3 linked regions of the Schizosaccharomyces pombe genome follow. The gene in region 2 interacts genetically with the main gene of each other region. Each region holds a gene or a part of one and is shown on either strand. Other genes may lie near its edges.

Region 1 (6,443 bases), 790 kb from region 2:
CCTCTATGGTGCACTTCACGATTCTAAGGTTTATCCAGAGCCAGAAACATTTAATCCTGACCGCTGGGCACCAAATGGTCTTGCCGAGCAAAGTCCTAAGAATTGGATGGTTTTTGGTAATGGTCCTCATGTATGTTTGGGCCAGCGTTATGCCGTTAATCATTTAATTGCTTGCATTGGAAAGGCCAGTATCATGCTTGATTGGAAACATAAAAGAACCCCTGACTCTGATACTCAAATGATTTTCGCTACGACATTTCCTCAAGATATGTGTTACCTCAAATTTTCACCTTTTGATGCTTCAACTGTTGACTGGAAAAACTCCAAGGAGGCTTTTTCAAATGAAGCAGTCTCTGCCGCAACTGTGGAGACTGAGAGCGCTTGATTTACAAATAACTACCCAGGTTCGGAGTCTATAGTCGTTTATTAGTTTAGTTTACGTATGTATTCACCATTCTGAATTTTAGGTTACAATTGATCAATTTTGAAAAACAAAAAAATATTAAAAGGATCGTAAACAGACATGCATTGTCGATAAATTGATCTAAGTATTTAATATGTATTATAAGATGTTTAAAACCTAAAGCTCGATTAAAGATGCTTCTTGAACTTCAGGAATATCATTACCTTGCTTATCATTGCCATTCATTAAATCATCATAACCAGAGGAAATTTCGTCAAAAGGCTCTCCAACTTTATCGATTGAATCAGTATTATAATAGTTGGTACTTTCATCGATATTTAATTTTGTATTCTTTTCACCAGATGCGGTGTCAGAAAATACAACTTCATCGTGTCGATTTCCCATTACATTCGCAGAAACGTCTGTATCCGTCGAGTAATAACTGGAGATAGTATCTTTCTGACCCATCACATCAGAATGACTAGGGGGATTTTCTGTTACCGGAGACGAATCGACAACGATTTTCGGGACAGAAGAAGACGAAGCCTGGGGAATGGTTGAACTATTCCTCACAGTGCTAATTACATCCGGCTCAGGTTCAATTGATCGGTTTGAATCCATGCTAGAATCAATATAATGATGTGCATACGTGGATGAAAGTCTTTGTTCTATTAGAGCATCATTCAATCGCATACAAGTTTGGAGCTTTTGCAAAGCTTGAATTAGCCCGTTATATTTACTCATTGTTTCACCAAGCGATCGCATCATACGAGTTCGCATAACACCCATATTTTCGTGGAGTTCCTGTAGCTGATATTCCGTAAAAATAGACCCAGGTGGTAGCTTTTTTAACTTTTGCACCAAAGTAGCATATAAAGTGATGTTATCAGCATCCGCAGTAGAAATTAAAGTAGAAGGATTATCACTCGGCCTACCAGAGAAAGGAGATGATCGAATATCAGTTGAAACGGTGTGAGCTGGAACACTAGGGTAAGAAATATTCATATTGTTAGGTGCCGTAACATTGTCATCCTTTTGAGATGACTTCTGTGCTTCCTCAAGGCTGATAGCAATAGCACGTTTAAGCTCTTCATCTTCGTCTTCTGTAAGATGTTGGTCTTGACTAATAACTACATTGGCCTCTGAAGGTCTTTCATAAGATGGAGGTTCTCGTGATTGAGGCATTTCTTTGAGGGAAAGCTCAATAGCTCTTTTGATATCTTCGTCTTCATTATTAGTTACGGGTTTAGAGGGTGTCTTTCTAGTCTTCGCATGGAATTTCCTTTCATTTCGCGCTCTTGATTTGGAACCTTTGGGTTTCGTACGTAATGAATAACAACTGTCGCATACCCTAACAGGCTGGTTAATTCCAAGGTGAGGAAGAGAAAGTGTTTTTGAAGAACATTGATTGCAAAACACGCCACCGCAATTTCTACAATGGTGTTTACGATTAGTGAATGTAAAAGGTGTACGACAACGAAGACAAACTTCACTATCTGTCCAATCGGGCGGTGTTTCAGTATCTAAAAATTTGCTAGTAATGTTCTGAGAAGGCTCAGGGAACTCATAATCACCGTCTTTTAAATTTTGATAAACATGAATAATATAACTAAGTGGAGAATTGGTATCTGGAACTGCCAAAGCCCAAGACTGAATGTATCGTAAAATGACCATTTTAACGTCTTCGTCTATTCCTGCAGGAGATCGTAGAATAGATACCAAATTATCCATAAACTCTCTAGAAGCTATTTCCAATAAAAAACCGGAACCCCCATTTTTAACGCAGGTATCTGTCAACTTCAATGCCATTATTTGAACATTCGGATTCGAATGATCAATTCGGGATTTAAGAATACGCATAGCAAATTTCGGATCAACAGACTTACTACGTATTTGATCAGAAATTTCTAAATATAATGAAATTTCTTCAGAGCCAGCAGGAAGCGTTTCCGATGTAGCCTTTTCTATGTCGGAAGCAAACTGAGAATTGGAATTCCACCACCGAGACATCGTTATGAAAATAGAGAAGAAAAGAAAAACCGAAATTAAGAAACAAAAGAAATCTTTTTATTATTTGTAAGCTAAATTGTCACCAAACAAATAACCAATGGCCTTCAAAAATTCCTAATAAACAAAAGCAGCAGGTGAAGTATAACAACTTTGGCACAATTCTTCTGATTGTTTGAAATTATGGCAAAATAATGTATTGTAAATCCTCCTTTCCAATAAAATTCAATTTGAGAAAGAGTTTGGTTCTCGACAGCAATAACAGATTGTTCGTGGCTCAAACTTGCTAAGTAATAGTGCGGGCAGCTTAGCACATCTCGGTATAACGGTTGATAGTGCAGAGCGGCAAATATAGTAAAGCAAGTATTGAGAGAACACTAATTGTCGTAAATATCGATGATGTTTATAGACTCATTAGGTAGATCAAGCTAAAGCGTGCAATGTAGTTTCAGCCTTTTTGAAGGTACCATAAATAAGCAAAGAAGGAAAACGATACCTCACCATTGAGTGCTGTACTTCTGGTAGGTGCTAATAAGACAGACCGTAATAATTTATATTTGCTATGCGAATTATATACTATCACAGTGTTTCTTGAAATATTATAAAAAATAATATGTCAAATGTTGTAGTATACACATACTTAATTTTCCTATGTTAAAACAAGTATTTAGTATATCTTCAAATTTCACATATATATCATATAAACAGTCTATTTTACTTTCCAATTTGTAAGCAATCTGTTTTACGGTCCATAAATTACATTATGTATATATACAAAAACAATTCAATCCTATCTTTGTCAAATTTATGGAGCTAGTTGCTATTAGTAATATGCACTAGCAGTCAAGCGATTAAATAATTGTACAATTAAATCCATCTAAAGTTAAAACAATTGTATAAAAAAAAGTTTTAAATTTTTGATTGTTAAGAATTAAATATGAAGACGAGTTTAGTATACCTCAATGTCAGTGGTATGTAGCTGCCTTTTGCCAACTCCATCAACAGATTTTGTAAATCAACGAAATATGCCTATTCCAATTATTGCTCACATAGCACAATTTAAGTATGAGCATCTAATTACACATTGGGCTCAATATACAAAGGCTGCGATTGCGGTTTCAACAATTGCGGCCTTTAAATTCTGGACTTCTGGACGAACAACAACTTGGGAGCGTAAAATGAACGGAATGGTAGTCATGGTCACTGGGGGAAGTTCTGGAATAGGACAAGTTGTCGTAGAGAAATTAGCTTCTCTGGGAGCTCAAGTTGTTATTCTACTTCGTACAGAGCCAGATCAATTTACTGTAGATTACATAATGGACCTTAGAAAGCGTACAAAAAACCAACTAATTTATACTGAAGTCTGTGACTTGAGCTCTATGTTATCTGTTAGGAAGTTCGCTACAAAGTGGATTGATTGCACTCCTATTCGTAGGCTGGATATGATAGTTTTGTGCAGTGGAGTTTTACTGCCTCCATTTATGGATAGGCAAACTACCGAGGAAGGTGTTGAGTTGCAATGGGCTACAAATTTCTTAGGTCCATACCAGCTACTTAGGATTCTCCGCCCAGTTATATATGGTCAGCCCGGGCACAGGGAAGTACGAATTGTTGCAGCTACCTGTTCATCATATATTTTAGGTAATATAGATTTCAACGATCTTGATTTATCTAATCATCCATATCCTCGAAAAAGTCCCTGGAAGGTAGTGGGAAATGCCAAACTTGCCTTGATGACTTATCTTTATGATTTTCAGAAAAAAGCTGAAGCTCATGAACGACCTGACAAAATGCCGTGTAATTTACATACCATCATGGCAAATCCAGGTGTCGTTCGAACTCCAGGATTTCGAAGAGTTGTATCCTTTGGAAAGGTTTGGGGATTATTTCTTTATTTGTTACTTTGGCCGTTTTGGTGGCTTCTTCTGAAAGGTACTATTCATGGTGCTCAATCATTTTTTCATGCTATTTGCAGTCCCGAATTTGCTTCGATTACTCAACCCGTCCTTGTAAATGAATGTTCGATAGTTGAATATTCACGCAAAGAAATTACCGATCCGGAATTTGCTGAAAAACTAATAAAAGCTGCCGATGCCCAAATTGATGAAGTTGAAAAGCAATACAAGAAGAAGAAAATCAAGAAATCAAAAAAATAGAAGTTTAGCGAAAAATATGGAATGTCATTTGGTTGGAATATTCACCATAATAACGTAGGTCCGAAGTTAAAAGGTTGGTATTTTTAAAAAGACAAATACAGTGCTTAAACTTTAAGCTGTACATAAACATTGCTCAAGTAAACTAATTAAAATATAAAAAAGGAACCCAAGTACAATCGCTACTGATATATGTTCTACTTCACTAATGTTTTGAATAGTATAACCATTAACCACTAATACTAGAAAGTTTTGCCTCCTTATTTATCAAAGATACCATTCACTCTAATGGCCTTGCCTATACATAAAAGAATTGTAATTATTTACCTGTATCCCAAATGAACCTAAAATAACCGTTTGACCATACCCATCATACCTACGCTCATTCAGCTAAAACATCACGTTTGTGACGCTGGTAAGGCTTCAATTTCCATTCCACATCAGCGTCTACCATATCAACGGTGCCGAGGGTAATTTCAAATAGTTTCATCTCAAAGCGAGGACCAGCCTCAGATAGAATAATCTGCTTTGGGCCTGTTTTGGCGTAAATGTGGTGACGGAAACTGATATAATCATCAGTGTTAGCAAATGTAACCACACGTGGTGTAGTATCTTTAGGGTCTGGAGGAAATAAAGCAGAAAGAGCTGTTTTAACGCGCTTTCCCAACTTTGAAGTCAAATTTTCAAAAATAAGATGTGGATACGCTTCTGACATGGTACCAGTATTAGGGATATCATGACGAAGAACCACGTTATGTAAAGAAAATGACAAGGTAGGACCATAAGGAAGATGAGAAATTACAAGACCATCAGGGATACCTCTGTGTTCGTGCAAAATGACTATATCGGTAATATCATTGGCACGAGCGGCTTCTACCAAGCTTCCGACAACGATATTACCACGATTGAGTCGATATGAGTTGGGAATCAAGAGACGTACTTCTTTTGCAAATTGCGCTAGACGAGATGAGGGCTCTCGACTGGTGGTAACTAAAACTTTTGGCTCCCTCTCACCCAGACGGTGGTACTCATCGTCAAGGTTGGTTTCTGTCTCTTCTTGAGTTGCTCTGCTTTCATCATATTTATAATCCTTTTGAAGTTGACTGTCTTCCTGCAAATCTTTGTTCAATTCTTTGTTACCTTCCAATGCTTTTCTTAATGCACGTCGTTTTTCATTGAGTTTTGCTTCTTGAAGTTCTTGATTTCTCTTATAAATGAACTGTCTTCTTTCCCTAACAGCACGACGAAGCATCTTAAATTATTAAATTAAAAAAAATTACACTTGCAGTATGCAACTAGCTGTTTGCAATGCGAAAGTTGTATGCACCTCGTTCTTAACACTAATGCCGAAAATATTTTTTGCATGGGGATAGGTCGCGAACTAATGTCAGCAATACTACACTACGCTATGATACACTACGTTGCGTATCACTATATGTCACATGTTCTAATTATATATCGTACCATGTATGATACGATATGGAGATTGATCTTAATGATAATCTATTAAGATCAATATTATCTGAATACTATAAATAGAGCTACTGCTGAACCTCGTTCCTCAGTTCAGTTATGAGCTATATTAGTGATAGGTAACATTATAACCCAGTTAATACAATACCTATACTCAGTTGCTACTTATACAACCTGTGTATTGTAATATAATAGACCACAAGGAAAACTCACCGCAGTTCTACGTATCCTTAAATCGGATACCAAACTGTGTAGCAAACACTTGTCTCAGTTTAATACTTTTTGTTCTATAGCGTTCATCATTTATATGTTCGTCTTCACTAATCAACTGAGCACGTATATATACGAAATGTGCGTATTTTAATATGATCATAAGTTTAGACTTTTAAATAAAATTACACTTACAA
Region 2 (8,997 bases):
GTCAGTACTGCCCGTACTGGCCGTTGAGGCAGCCAAAGACGGAGTTAAATTTTCACCAAAGAAAGAAGTGGCATTAGAAAGTAGAGGGAAGGCCGCTGAATGCTTTGAAATAGATTGCAGACCATTGGCCATTGATGAAGAAGAAGTAGTAGAATTATTAGTCGACGAAGAACCTGAAGTAAAGGCAAAGTTTTTAGAAGCCGAAGGATTATTGGCGATCAAGCCAGGATTACCTCCAAGATTCGACGACGAAGAGATGCTTCGGCGAGAAGTAGAAGGTCCGGGCGTGTACGAAGACAATCCAGGACGACGTAAAAGTATGGGGATGTCATCTAACGTCGTATTCATTTGTAAGATAGAAGCCGAGCTATTTTTAGAGTTACTTCTTTGGTATGAAGCAGAGCCAGGCAAGTATAAAGAAGAAGATGGAGATGACAAATTATTCAATCCACCGCCCATAGTCGCAGGCGGAACAAAAGTTGTTGATGAAGAGTGAGAAGTAGTGAAAGAAGGAGTGTTAGAAAGAAGGTTATAGGGAACGAAATTCGAAGATCCGAACGTGTATCCACTCATGCTAGTATTCCGGTTCATGTTCCCAGTACGGTTTCCGAAAGCGCCGGATGCCAAACCGCTTTCCACAGCGGCTTTTGAACCATTTGTTTTTCCGGATTTAGAAGATGAAGGGATCTCAGACAAAGCAATCGGCGCATTAGCGGCATATGGATCCCAAGAATTCGATTTCAATACATCTTTATTCTCAATATCAGAGTACTGTGAAGAAAAGACTGGAAGCGAATATTCTGTAGACATAAAGGATGGATGAGATTTAGAAGACTGCTCGGTCATGCTACGCTTATGTTTTGCGAAGGATTACCTGTTGTCATATATTAACAGTCCGTGGGATAAATTGTTCTTAGTGGGGGATTTTTCCCAAACTATTTCCTGTCCCGATACAAACAAAAAGATGTAGAGAAGAACGATACAACACAAAAAACACAACCTCTACTTTACTTTAAGCAGGCGACTGTACAGTGTGTGGAGTGGAAACCATGCTTACTGTGAGATGTATTGTACCGACAGCAGGTAACACTACGGGTAACGCAACTTACTAAGGAAGAAGCAGGAAGGATTTGAAAAAAAAGAGAAAATGTGAAATTTGTGCTTCGAAGACAAAAACAATTTTTTTAAATGCTAAGAATCATCCCAATTCAGTTTCGTTTCACTCTCTACATTTTTTCTTGTAAGGCGTAATGCCGTAGTTTGACAAAAAACAGATCCCATGAGGTGATTTGTAAGATACAACACCCGTTGGTATGCCTTTTAATGTTTTTAATAACATGTCTTAATGATTTTTATTGGGAGGACGGCTGAGAGAAATTGACGGCAGTCAGTGCATCCATTCCTTCGTTGCACATGTTGATTTTACTTTTACTCGAGAATAACGCCAGGCGGTTCTTTTTTTTAAGCAATAACTACATCATTCGAACATTAATTAATGCTTATAAGAGCTCTTCAAAAGTATCTATAAAGGTTGAGCCAGCTGGTATTTTTATGTCGGCAACTTGATACAATTGTTGTGTATGATTAGTCGCTACATATTTATTTCATAGATTTTCAGTGAAAATCAAATTTATTTTTGGATTCCTTCTTCAAAACTCATAAACAGCCGTCAACTTGTAAACAGAGGCTCACTAATAGATGACGCAATTTTCGCTTAACAACTGCTTAATGCACTCTAAAGATGATAGGTAAACAAGGTCTACTACTTTAGCAGATTAAGACAGTGAGCTGTATTTTGAATAAACATATGTATAAAAAAGCACATCTATTCCTCAAAAGCGTAATTTTTTTATTTTTATAGGTGATATCTTTACAACGTTGTGGGCGTTAAAGATTGTTATGTAAAGCAAAACAGAGAACTTGCTTAAGATTCTCTGAATTTTTAGGTTTCCCTAAAAAACCCACTGTTGGTTTATTTAATTTTCATTTAAGTCTGAAAAAGTCTTGTTTGTGCTATCAGAAAATGCAGTCGTCAATAGAGGATGTCCAAGCTAATATCAAATAGGTGTGGATTTCTTTGTGTAAAAGAAGTCGATTCCTATTCTTTTTTTTAATCTTTTTTGATTTCAAATTTACACTTTTAATAGGTTGTTGGCTTTAATGTCTATCCTCTTATTATTATATGTGGTGTGTTCATATTTTATGCACCTCTTCTTCTACAAACGACGCGTTTTAAAAAAAAATCCTTTCACCCATCCTAAATGATACTGATTTAAACAAAATGCATTTATTAACTACGACGCTTATTTCTTTTGAACAAAACAAAGTAGAATATTTAACCCAAATCGCGATTTATACTCAAACACCTGTATGCACTGATTCAAACTGTGAGCATGCTAGATTTTTAAAACACAGCCTTATTCAAGTTTCAATTGAAAGGATAGAATATTTATACTCGATATTTCCGAATATATGGCAATTCGCTTTGCTTTGCCAAGGTCAAAATAAAGAATCATTGATACATATGGAAGAAGACGCCAGCACGAATTTCAAACTACGATATTGTAAGTTCTGTCTATCAGTATAATGAAACATAATTTCAAAACCTCCCATTACCCATTTTTGACCTAGTTGATTTAATTTAAAAAAAAAAATTTATTAGAGAACGAAAAAAAAATCCGAAGCTATATATTTACTAATGCTAAATGAGTTTAGATGTACTTCCATGGTCTAGAAGACTGCAAGGATACCAGAGCATTACAGTTCAAAATGGTTCCCATGTGCCTTTAGTCAAACGATTGGAAAAGTGGAGGATATTCGTAGAATGTTAACATATAAACATAAGAAAAAAAAAAGACTGCAGAATACAAGAGATCAATGTCATTAATCAATGTTTACACTTTCAAACTCGTCAGAAGATTGTATAATTTCTGCTTCTTTGTTGGGTATTAGATTGTCATCAGCCGTAGGTTCCGAACTTTGCTTAACTGTAGTAATATTTAGATCTTCTTCTTTATCGAGCGCATTCAGTTGCAAGTTAGTAGTATGCGCTTTTTCTGGCTCTAAGACTTCAGAAACTTGAGGGATTTCCTCAATTGCACCGTTAGTACCAATATCTTCAGCTGCTGCGGGAGATGGCTTATCATCGTCTGAATTTTCCTTAGTATCTAAAGGGGCTTCGATTATTTTCTCATCTGTCAAGCCATTCGCATTTTCAGAATTAGCATTGTTTTTTTCAACCTCTTCGTTAGTTGCAGGTCCTTCTTGATTCAATAAAGATTTAACAGCGTTCTCTTCAATTATTTCGTTAGGTTCAGCTTCTTCCTCATTCGCTGAGGATTCAACAGTACTCTTTGTAACTGCTTCACCGGAGGTAGTTTCTTCTTGATTGATTAAAGATTCAGCGGCTGTATTATTTTCTTCTTTTTCATCTTCAAGTCCTTCAGTCTCCGGGGTATTGTTTTCTTCGTTCACGTTAATCTGCTCAACGGCTGGCAAAGAAGATGGTTTTTCTTGATGATTGTTAGCTTCAACTTCGGAAGTTTGCTGGGCAGCAGGTGTACTTTCCAGATTCGAATGTTCCTCAGCATCCTTTATTTGCATATCCTCTTCGGGATTTTCCTGCTTTGTAGAATTTTCTGGCTGATCCGCTTTGATGTTTTCCGAAGAAGTTGGAGCTTCATTGGGCTTACTAGAATCACTTCGTAAACCAATGTCGCTGGAAACATCGATTGATTGCTCAGCCTCAGTTTCAGGCGCTTCAGCCGGAACAGAAGCTGAACTAGATGGCTCAGCATTTGCACTATTTTGAGTTCCCTGTTGGGTTGTTTGCTGTGGAGCTTTAGCTGATGCAGCACCTTGAGCAACTTCAGCGGTATTCTTCGGTTGTTCGGTTGTAGCATTGAGATTTGGTGCAGCATTTTGCGCAGCTTCTACAGAATTAATAGAAGCGTTAGCATTGTAAGAAGCGCGATTTTCGATGTAAAAACCACTAACGTTCACCAAACGTCCTTCAGATTCGCATTTCAACAAATAATCCAAACCTAAAATAGGGATATTGGCAGCTTTTGCCTTTTCGTACTCAGGACCCCCAGTAGAAGAGCAGATAAAATGAGTTGTATCGATACGAACGCTAGTTTGAATTGGTCTAGCGTGAATGCGTTCAATACACTTTTGTAAAGCCTCCATCTCATTGGGAACCATGTTGCCAACACACACTTGAATTCCTGTGAGATCTATCATTCTTAACGTTTTGATGGTAATGTGTTTGCTGGGAAATGTTCCCGCAGTCGTATCCAAAACAAGGGAAAAATCGTATTCTGTATCGAGAGATAAGCCACTCAGCTTGGCATTGTGAGTAGTCATGGGATTAGATATGTTAAGCACTCGAACATTATTACGGTACAAGCAAAGGCTTTTGAGTCTCGCAGTGGAGAGTTGTAAAGGATCCCATTCCAATACAATGCTAGTCTGAGTAGCATTCTTTAACTTAAGAACAGGAGGAGACGGCAATTTTTGGCCATATGTTTCAAAAATTTCTTTTTGAACATCATCGAATGCAGTTTCTCTTGCTATCTCTTCCTCTTTATTGTGATGCACAGAGATATCGATTATAGAGCCTGCAGTCGCGTCATTCGGCAGCAACACGGATGGAAATTCTATAATATGAAATGAAGGTGTCAATAAGATGGCCATTCCCGCATCTATTTTGGCCACAGACACCATAAATTGATTTGTATCATCCATTTTAGATGCTATTATTGATAATCCCCTTTGGTTGTGGTGGAGTGTTTACCTTAACCAGCACTCTTACACTTCTAACTATAGGTAGCACTTGTTACCTAAGGAACCGTAGTAAAAATGTAGGTTATAATCATCTTTGTTTTGATAAATATCAAGAGTTGTTGTGATTCCCTGGTTTTTCACAATCTATTTACATATCAAACTTATATATTTTTTAAATTTTCTGGTTAGTATCATTATAAGCGTAATTCTAGTAAGGAAGACAATTACAATTTATTAAAATTATATACAAATATTTGAAGATATATTTAATTCAATCACTCAGTAAAAGTGAACGATTTAATATATGTAGTTTATTATTATATTTCAACGAGAATTCATACAAACAATATTACAAAAAAATCTGTTGATTTTTTCAATCATCTAAATTATTAAAATATTGGGCTATTATTATCTATTCTTCAGACTAAAGCATTTTAAGGGGAGCAAATATACTACTTTCTGATACAATTAAATTCTAAATTACGTTAAGTTACATTGATAGTAAACAAAAACAAATGCAGTACTGTTGAACCCAGTTGATGAATATATCTTAATTCGTAAACCGTGCTGCATTCAAAATTTAAAATACTACACGAATGAAGGATTAGACCACAATATCTGTTGAGCAAAATAGAAGTCGAAAAATAATACAATTGTTAATCTGGATATAAAACCACGTGTGAGCAAACTTAAAAAATATTTCCTAATTATCAGGTTTACACATTTCACTCTATAAAATTAATTAAGAATAGTGGTTTTTTAATACACCTATCAGTGCAATAATCAGTATAAAAAGAAGCTAGCTTCTAAAGGAAAAATATGAAAATAAGATAACAAATTTGCTCCCGTACTAAGTACTTTTGAAGAATTAGAAAAAAGCCGTAGACAAATGGAATATCGAGGCTAATCTGTATACATTAAAACATTATCCATCTTTATGCTATAGGGTTATCCATATAAAGAGCGGAATAGAAAAGAAATACCGAGAAGGAAACAAAAATTCTATTTACCATCTTAAGTACGGAAAGTAATGATAATTTTGTATCCATAAAGATTTCCTTTGTCAAGCAAGCAAGGCCCATGATATGTATGGTGAGGTGTAGAAAGAAGAAAAGAGGAAAAAGCAATACAGGCCAAAACCAAATTGCTCAACAAAAAACCAACCTGGTATTCACTATCATTGACCCGTCAGTCATCAAGTATGTATATGCAAGAAAAATAAAAACGAATAAAGGATCTTGAGAAAAAATGCGTTATCTCTTTGCAAAAAAAGTGGCCCTGTCTACATCAGAAGCTTTTTTCTTAAAATTCGATTTATAGGTTGTTGTGTCAGGCAAGAGAGAAAGAAAGAGAGAAGGAAGAAAAAAACCAGAGACAAAAATACGCTTGAAAAAAAAGTATTCAAACAGCAAATATTTTGACTCGGCATGCGACTAAGCTACATGATACATCTTCTTACTTGCCATGAAATTTTGTTGCGATAGGAACAATAATGACAACAAGTAAAATGATGATACCAATGATAATGCAAAGACGCATACGCATGTCCTTCCACCACATCTTCTTGCGAACACGATTGGCGCCACGACGGAAGCCTTGCGCGCTAACAGCAAGGTTATCTTAAAGAAGTTAGCTAAACGTTCAAAAAAAAAATTTAACTGTTAACAAAAATAAATATCATACCTGTTTTATCTTGTAAAGAATCAAGGCGTTCTCCACGTTCTGAAACCTTAGAAATGTTTTCACGCATAATCCCCACAGTATCGTCAATCTGCTGCTGAATTGCAGCTGTCTTCATATTCGGCGTCGACGAAGCAGCAGCATTTCCACTACGAACAGCTGCAGAAGGCTCCGCCGGGATATATGGGTCATATGGCTCAGACATGGTCGTATGTGTTAGTTGGTGGAGGATTTATTTTTGCGCTCGGTTGGAGTTGATGTGTACCAATTCGTTAATCCTCTTTCCATTGCGTTAAACATCTGGCTTTGTAATGTTGGGTTGCAAAGCAGTTTTGTGATTATACTTATATAAATTAAAGAAAAAAAATAAAATAAAGTAATAAAATTACTTCTTGCCTTTTTACAATAAGAAACATGTAACTAGCTGTACCCTCATAGTAAATAACGTAAACAAATCCTTAGTATTGGTGAATTTGGGAGGAACCAACTACGCCCTTTGGAATAGAGATTTGGAAACACGTCTTGTTTCTTGGCGATTTGAGCTGTTCATAACAATATATTTCTTCTTCTAAATTTCCTTGAGTTATGAAATTTTTATGAAAGTTTTAACTTTCACATAGTGTTAAAAGGTCTCCTCTCATCGCTGTAGCGTCCGAAACGTTATTTGTTATTTTATTCTTGAGATCTTTTGTAAATAAAATTTTATTTACGTTACGATTTACGTCTGGATTAGGGTTTTGGTTTTGGCACTTGCAATATTAGATTTTTCCTGGGTTTTTGGTCTATCGGTGAAACAACGTTTATTTGGGTCCATTTAATCATACATTTATTAGAAAAAAGTCTTTAAAAAAGAGACAATACTCACTTACCTACATTTCTTTTGTTTGTTTTTTTGTTTTCACTCTTTTATCAGAAAAACAGGTTGAAATTTCCAAAAAAAATATTATTTACTTCATAACATTAAAAAAATATTAAATTTGATTGTTACAAATGGCGGAGAATCTTAGCGATCAAGATTGTTTTGAAAAATTATCGTCTAGTAAAGAGGGTCAGCATTGGTTTTGCTCAGGACTACTGACTCAGTATATACAACCTACCTTCTTTTGGTTTGCACATGATGAAACTCCGAGCTTTAAATGGGTATTAAATGCCTATCATGAGCGTTTACGCTCTTGTACTTCTTGTATACAAGCTTATTATGAACTTCGAAATGAATCCCTTGCGAAAGGTTCATATTCTTTTACTGGGTTTTCAATTACCGATTTACAGGAAAAGTGGAATAAATGGGATATTATCCGTGTCTTAGAGGACTTCAAGGCCCTGGAGGATGAAACAATTGACTTCACGTCTTTGCCTTGCTTAATTTTCGAAACCCTCTTGAATCCTAAATTGTTTACCTGTAAAAATATTTATAAAAATGCAATAGATGCATTTAATGGTCTACTTTCAGATTGGTGTTCTAATATATTTCTTCCTGGTTATTTACTATTTTTCTATGAAGCTTCCCATCCCGATGTTTTGGAATGGGTTCATAGCTTTTTTAAGGAAAATACTGAAATAAGAATTTCTTCTGCTACAGTTGACGCCGTTTTTAATACTGTAGTGTTTGAAAGTCAAAATTCCTCTGACAGTGATTGTAATTTCGTGTCTATAAGTAGTCCTGAATTTTGGGAACGTACTTACATGTTTTTAGAACTTCTTCCTTTACAATCCATTACTGCTGCATGTGAGTCCATTTTAAAAGATTATCTTTTAAATTTGGTAAAGACTTCTGAATCTCTATCCTCTCAACAAATGTCCTGTCTTCGAATTTGCTGCAATTCCTCATCCTTTTGGTCTGCCGCTGATTCATTTAAGGAAGTGTCTTCTTTCTTAAAAAACTTGCTAAAAAATGTTACAGCTACACCTTTTGAAGTATCTGACATGAACTGGGCTTACATTATTGCTTCATTTTTTCGCACATGTTTAAATGACTTTGTTAGTGTTTTTCCGGAATGGCTTAAAGGATTTGTAGAAGAGAAGCGTACTATAGGTTTCATCATTTATTCGGTTTTGGATGCGTTATTTGATCTATTATCGCTAGATTACAGCTCTCCTTCATTTCTTAACAATACACTATCGTTGATGAATGCTAATAGCATCACTATTTTACAAGATTATCCGGAGTACATGCTGAAACTCAGATTGCACTCTTTACTTTATGACATTGCATTTATAAGTTGGTCTCATAAGGCAATCACTAAAAATCCCTCATTTGTTTTCGATCCTTCATATGAACTCTCTCCTTTTTGGAAGCTTGACAATCTACAGGAAGAAAAAATATCTGACGTCCTTTTCTCTAAAATTTCAAGTTGTTGCTTTGCCCACGATATTGAAATATCCGAAAATTCTACACCGTCTGGAACCATGGTGCAGTTTGCTGAACTATGGCAAGTAATGTCGGAATATATCAGTGGATTTTTAAAAGGATTTTCTGAAAAGTCGTCTACTGAAATTTCAAATATGCTGGGAGATTCTTCAAAATTTGACACA
Region 3 (6,395 bases), on a different chromosome or scaffold from region 2:
TTACACCCCATACTTGAATGACAGCAGTGAAGCTTGGGAGAAAGAAAGTTATGAGAAATCCCCTAGTGTGTATGAAAAAACGTTTAGACTATTCAGCGAAAAGATATCCCATAACCCAACTCAATGTCTACGTTATGAACGAGGTGGTACACCACTGCTTGCATCTGGTAGAGATAAGCTCGGTCAGCAACTGAAGTCTGTTACTAATTTTGGAAAAAGCCCGGTGCCGCTGTGCCCTCTTTGCAAATCGCCTCGTTTATTCGAAATGCAGCTTATGCCACATGCGATATCCATTCTCAATGACGAAATAGCAGAATGGTCTACTATACTGGTCGCTACATGTTCGATGGATTGCAATCCTCCGATCAACAAAGATAGAGTTGGTTATGCAGTAGAATGGGTTGGAATTCAGTGGGATTAGAGCTCAACTTTTAAATGAGGCTTACTAAAAAATTGGGGAAAATAATGTGCAATTCTTAGTTACTTAAAATTTGCTTCTCTTCTGTTACGTTACATAATGTATTTCATAGTCGACGAAATTGTTAAGTGGTATAAGGAAATTACTTAGATAGTGTAAATGATATACTTAGTGATAATAAAGATAAACTTTAGAGTAGCCTAATTGAAGATTGACCAGTGTATTCTTGGGACCTACCATTTACCTTGTAAGTCAGTTTAAACCGTACAGGTAGTTCTGTGACATCCAGTAACTTAGTCACAATCATTTCCTGGTAAATACCGTCTTTCTGGAGAGGTGAAAGATTAGTTCCAGATTGGGGTTGAAGTACAAGATTATATTTCTATTGAAGGTTAGAGCATATCCAGTAAAAAAAATAAACATACCTTGGGAACTGCAATAAACGATTGTAAATTCTCGACAGTATCATAGGGACTTAAATTAGTGTAAGTAGCCAGTAAAACTACTTGATCTCTAGTTTTACTTTTAGGGGTTATCTGAAAATTTAAGTGAGAGTTTTCAAATGCGCAAGTAGAAGTAAAATTGTTAATGGGAACATTGGGCGATGAATTAGACACGGGGGAATTGAAAGATTCAGTAAGCGAGATGGCACCAACTTCGGCAGGCGCTTCGACAGTACCCAAAAGACTTTGCGAAAGACTTTCCATATTAAAAGAAGAAGTAGGCATTTGAGAAGATGAGGCTGGTAAAGAAGGAGATTGAGCATCAGATCCTATGTCTAAATCGATAAGTAAATCCATGGCACTTTGAGTATTAGATGCATTAGCCGAGGTTTTGGAATTACTCTTTGCCGATTCAGTAGTAGCTTGAAGAAGCGAATTGTTATCGGCAGCAACGGTACGAGCTGATGAAAAATCGCCTTCCAGTAAGTGGTCATATTGGGTCAGTAAAGATGCGATTAACGATTTCAAATCGCTAACAGTCACGTAAGAGTCATCTTCCGGACTCATTTCTTCTAATATCTTATCAACCTTACGCTGAGCAGCCTTCAAGGAATAGGCCAGCTCATCGTACAAATCACCACTGGCTAGTTTATCGGATTCAGAAACTTCATTCAACATTTCACCAAACAGAGCTGCTTTTCTTTTGACTTTTTCTAAATCTACGAGAACATGTTCCTTATATTTTTGCTTTTGCTCAGTGTCGTAACCAGCCATAACTTTCATAAGTTTGTTGGCTTCAGCCAAATCTGCCGGAGTACCGCGACGAATTAGTTCCTGTAGTTTAGCAGACATAGCTTCTCTGTCTTCCTTTTCAAGTTCTTCTGCTGTTTTTAGAACAGATTTTTGACTTAAAACAGCAAGATTCTCTTTATCGATTTCAGGAAATGTATAGCCTAAAGTGGTTAACTCGGAAATTATAATCGAGATTTCAAGTTAACTGAATACAAACCTTTGTAAGATAAAAGTCGGTGCATATCCCTAATAAAACCGAGGTCTTCTTTATAACGATCAACACGACAAATGGTTTTCCGCCATTCCTCAATTAAAGAAAGAATCATGACTTGGATTTTGTTCAAGCGAGAAGGTGGGCGCTCTGGAAATCTTCTTACTAATTCGTTTAAGAATTCTTTAGAAGCAATTTGTAAACGAAAGGCATATCCACAATTTTTGACGCAAATATCAAGAAGCTAGAAAATGTTAGCACAAAAGGCATTTGAAAAAAACGTGAAAAAAAAAGGGCTCAGCAAAATTTATAATAAATTTAACAAAAATCTATTTTATACAAATCACAATAACCAGATTGGAATTCTGAAGGTTCAGCACTTAAGATTGTTTCGTTCAGAAAATAAACAAGTTATAAAAGCAGTACCATATCAAATAATGCGAAGTAACTTCTAAGTGAAAAACAAAGTTGTGAAAAATTAAAACAGAACATACATTTAAAGCCAGATAGGCAACTGTTGGATTGCGATCATTGACCTTACGAACAATGGCAAAGGCAGCTTCTCGAGGCCTATAAAATAATAAACACGTTAGTATAATCAATATTATAAGTGAATTTCCTACAAATTTCCGCCAGTTTGATTAATCAAATCAGCGATATCCAAATTAACCGCTAGATCTGGTTCAAAAGCGTACGGCTCGGTCGCATTTTCTGCAGTTAGCAACTATAAAGTAATGTAATTTCTTACGAATTAAACTGTATAGTCTTCTTTTAGCGCTAGACATTAAGTCAATAATTCCAAATTGTTACAGCAGAGCGGCTTAATCAAAGATATTCAACTACAGCTTCAATGCTTAAAGTCTATGAAAATTGCGTATCTCTCTGTATTATGGTAGACGTCCAATTTCGTCATTATTCTAAATAAGGATACGAGTTTAAGTAACCATAAAACTTGCGGCCAAGCGCTCACTATTCACGTAGCCTTTTTGGTTGTTGATGTTTACCTGCCAACAATGTGACTCTTCTCAGTTAGTTTTTTCAAAAATATAATTCTACTAGAAAAAAATTTAACCTCGCTTTCGCTCGTAGGAAATTGTTTTGTTGTATTACGTTTGACTTGAAATTTAGTAACAAATAAGAAAACTAGAGTATTTTACCAACACGCATATCCAACTAAGAAATTATTCACATTCTTTAGCTAACAAACCTCTCCAACTGGTGAATTCGAAAGTATTATCGAAGATCATCATTGAATTTTTAAAAAGACAGGTCACACAACACAACGATTTACAAGAATTATTAATGCTACTATTACTTATGCACGCGACATATCTAAAATGAGTTTAAAGTTACATGTCTTAAAATCAACACAAAATTACGAAAACGCATCCATCATATTATAACAAAATGTGCATTTGCTTTTTGAAAAAATAATATTTAGGCAAGTCCCTTGAGAGCACGTCTGCGGTCACGCTCTTCGGTAATGCTGAGCTTGACACCCTTACCCTTGGGCAAAGAAATCCAACTCTTGCCAGTCTCGCCAATGACAAAAACGTTGGAAAGACGAGTAGCAAACTCACGGTCCAAAGCATCCTTAACATGAATGATTTCAAAGGAACCAAGATGGTGCTCACGATGGACAATGGTACCAACACGTCCCATGTTACGACCACCGGTAACCATAACTTGAGCGGAAGTATCAAATTTAATGAACGACTCGATCTTGTTGGTTTCCAAGTTAAGTTTTATGGTGTCGTTGACCTTGATCAATGGATCGGGATAACGAATAGTACGTCCATCATGGGTGACGAGAAAAGGAACACCCTTAGCACCTAATTGAACACGCTTGACCTTGCAAAGCTTGTATTTAGCCTCTTCAGCAGTAATACGGTGGACAGTGAAACGGCCCTTAATGTCATAGACAAGGCGGAAGTGCTCACCAGTCTTTTCAACGGAGATCACATCCATAAAGCCGGTAGGGAAAGTAGAGTCGGTACGAACCTTTCCATCTACCTTAATGAGACGTTGCATAAGGATAGCCTTAACCTCACGTCCGTTCAAAGCATATTTAAGACGGTTACGCAAGAAAACAATCAAAGGAAGGCACTCACGGGCCTTATGAGGACCTGGAGAAGGCTTTGGAGCGTAAGTTCCGGAGAGCTTGTCCAAAAGCCAGTGGTGAGGGGCAGCAACACGCTTCAAATGCTTTTTAGGACCTCGAACCATTTTTGGTGGATGCAGTATTCAATATCCAAAATTTTGGCCAAGTGTCAAAAGATGTGACTGCTTTGTATAGAATATCGATGCCGAGTGCACCACAGTAGCCTATTTAACTGTCAAAGTACTCGCTCGTTTAATAATTAAATTAGAAACCGTAACGTACCACGTTAATAATTTAATGAGTTTTTGGACGTACCAGTTTTCCAGAAAAGCTGGAGTACGATTTACAAGAAGGCTTTCGCTAGTCTATTGATTAATTCATATTGTATAAAACTTATATATAAGAGATTTAACGATCTTATAAATACATCATAATTCTAGCTTTACTACCAAATATGTTAAAAACATGGATTGCATGTTTACATAAATCATTAAACGTTGGAATGAGTATTGTATTATCAGATGAAAATAAGAGTGTCCATAATTCTGAAATATGGTTAGAAAAAGCAATCAATTTCCATTAACTCTTAAGCAATGGGCGATAATACCTCAAAGAGTACCGCAAGGAAATGAAGCTAAGTAGAAGATATTTTCGTATAACGTTGATATCGAAATTATCAGCGAGTAGAGTAAACGTCTAAAAAATAGAATGACAATTATCTAAACAGAAAAATCCGCATACAGTCACATCATTCCAATTTTTCTGTAGGGAAACATGAATGAGAAAAGAATGGTATATAGTTAAAGGTGCATACTAGCACACGATCAATCATTAAACAAATTTAATATTTGCACGCATTGGAAAGTTGTTTTGTCGCTGCAGGTCACTAGAGACGTGCTTGATTCCTTCCTCACCCCCTTTGCGTGGGAGAAGAGAAGGATGTGTGGGTTTAGGAAGGGCAGAAAAATAATGATGCTCAAGGGCTTGTTGAGCAGTGGGACGACGATATGGATTGTAATCCAACATCATCTTGAGTAAATCAATTTCTTCATGGCCAGCTGCCGAAAAAAGAGCCTCCATACCACCGTTAGGAGGAGGAATGTGTTTCATCTCAACGTAGTTGGGAAGCTGTTGCATGCTTTTAATGACCTCTGGTTCAGGAGTTCCAAGAGCGCGGAAAATTACGTTAAGCTGATCCAGATCAGATTCGCCTGGCAAATACGGGGTCCTAAGCATCAACTCTGCAAAAATGCAGCCTACACTCCACATATCAACACCGGTGCCATAGCTTCGACAACCCATAAATAGCTCTGGAGGCCTGTACCATCGTGTAATGACCTGATGACTCATGTGGCTTGGGGTGCCAAAATCACGAGAAAGGCCAAAATCAGCCAATTTTAGGACACCGTCACTCGAAATTAAAAGGTTATTAGGCTTCAAATCTCGATGAAGGATGAAGCGAGAATGAATGTGATGCAAACCGCGTAACAACATGACCATCCACGATTTGATGTGGGCAGGTTGAAAAACGATGAATTTGTCTTTGATCAGCATTTCCAAATCACTGTCCAGGAATTCCAAGATGATGTTGAGGTTGGACTTTGTGGAGAATACATCAACTAACTCGATGACATTGTCGTGCCTTGACTCCCGAAGAAATTTGATCTCTCGTAAAGCACTTATATCGATACCATCTTTGAACTGGCCCACTTTAATCTTTTTAATAGCCACACGCCGATTAGTTTCTTTTTGGCGACCCAGGAACACGACGGCATACGTTCCTTCACCAACTTTGCGCTCCTTCACATACGTCCACTTGTCAGACTTTTCGATATCCATAACGAGAAACCTTAACCCCTATACTATTAATTACAGAGTACTTTAGAATACAGTGGTAAGTAAATTGAGGACAGGTTTGTATAGCAGTATGATGGTATGGTAGTGAAGCTATATACAACAAAAACACACAAACAATTCCAGCAAGACTTTTTCTTATAGGGAAAACCTTTTTACAAGAGCTTTCTCGATGTGTATATAAATGAAGTAGGTACTTAACACACTACTTCGCAACGCAATCTTTTGATCTTTATACTACTCCCAACGTTTGTAAGCAAACACCCACGTTTTAAATTAAGATGGAAGAAATTCACCAATATATGTATTCAGGATTCTCGGTTTAGCAAACGTTACCGCATGGCTTTCGTAATCTTGTAAAACGCTAATTCATCGACTTGGACTCAACAAAGCAGGAATGGTCGAAAGGACCCACAAATTTGGTTCATTATTGGTGTAGCAATAATTACAGTGACTACTAAGGGATGGGTAGCATGTCACTTTTGTGGTAAATTTTAAGATTCGATTAGTCTGGGGTTTATCGACCAGCATCGTGTGTGGAGTCAGTGTAAGGGGCTCTGTGGCTTATCTTGAATG

What was found. Genes that interact genetically often act in the same process or in processes that back each other up.
Region 1: of cfr1 (region 2) and sst4, changing one enhances a phenotype caused by changing the other (phenotypic enhancement), as found in Schizosaccharomyces pombe (one study listed by BioGRID).
Region 3: mutations in cfr1 (region 2) and gga22 impair growth when combined (synthetic growth defect), as found in Schizosaccharomyces pombe (one study listed by BioGRID).

Annotation. Positions count from the first base shown.
Region 1 is NC_003424.3:2,474,089-2,480,531, reverse strand, and holds sst4 (ESCRT 0 complex subunit sst4), read right to left. Parts: upstream 2,662-6,443; 5' UTR 2,414-2,661; coding exon 581-2,413; 3' UTR 501-580; downstream 1-500. Other genes in the region: C-22 sterol desaturase Erg5, read left to right, coding at 1-385; pbr1 (putative dehydrogenase), read left to right, coding at 3,436-4,566; U3 snoRNP-associated protein Imp4, read right to left, coding at 4,946-5,815.
Region 2 is NC_003424.3:3,265,984-3,274,980, reverse strand, and holds cfr1 (CHS5-like protein Cfr1), read right to left. Parts: upstream 4,785-8,997; 5' UTR 4,747-4,784; coding exon 2,884-4,746; 3' UTR 2,832-2,883; coding exon of another isoform or gene 2,716-2,831; 3' UTR 2,614-2,715; downstream 1-2,613. Other genes in the region: puf4 (RNA-binding protein), read right to left, coding at 1-846; bouquet formation protein Bqt1, read left to right, coding at 2,282-2,564, 2,716-2,831; syb1 (synaptobrevin family receptor), read right to left, coding at 6,241-6,404, 6,469-6,670; helicase Sen1, read left to right, coding at 7,456-8,997. UniProt on the Schizosaccharomyces pombe protein: Required for cell fusion, independently of fus1. Appears to have a role in transporting proteins that are involved in mating. May act as a scaffold to retain cell fusion proteins in the cisternae of the Golgi.
Region 3 is NC_003423.3:3,242,838-3,249,232, reverse strand, and holds gga22 (adaptin), read right to left. Parts: upstream 2,692-6,395; 5' UTR 2,650-2,691; coding exon 2,613-2,649; intron 2,576-2,612; coding exon 2,488-2,575; intron 2,435-2,487; coding exon 2,359-2,434; intron 2,109-2,358; coding exon 1,871-2,108; exon of another isoform or gene 1,815-1,870; coding exon 844-1,814; intron 801-843; coding exon 609-800; 3' UTR 501-608; downstream 1-500. Other genes in the region: tsr401 (20S rRNA accumulation protein 4), read left to right, coding at 1-421; rps401 (40S ribosomal protein eS4), read right to left, coding at 3,302-4,090; transcription factor TFIIH associated cyclin-dependent protein kinase Mcs6, read right to left, coding at 4,797-5,804.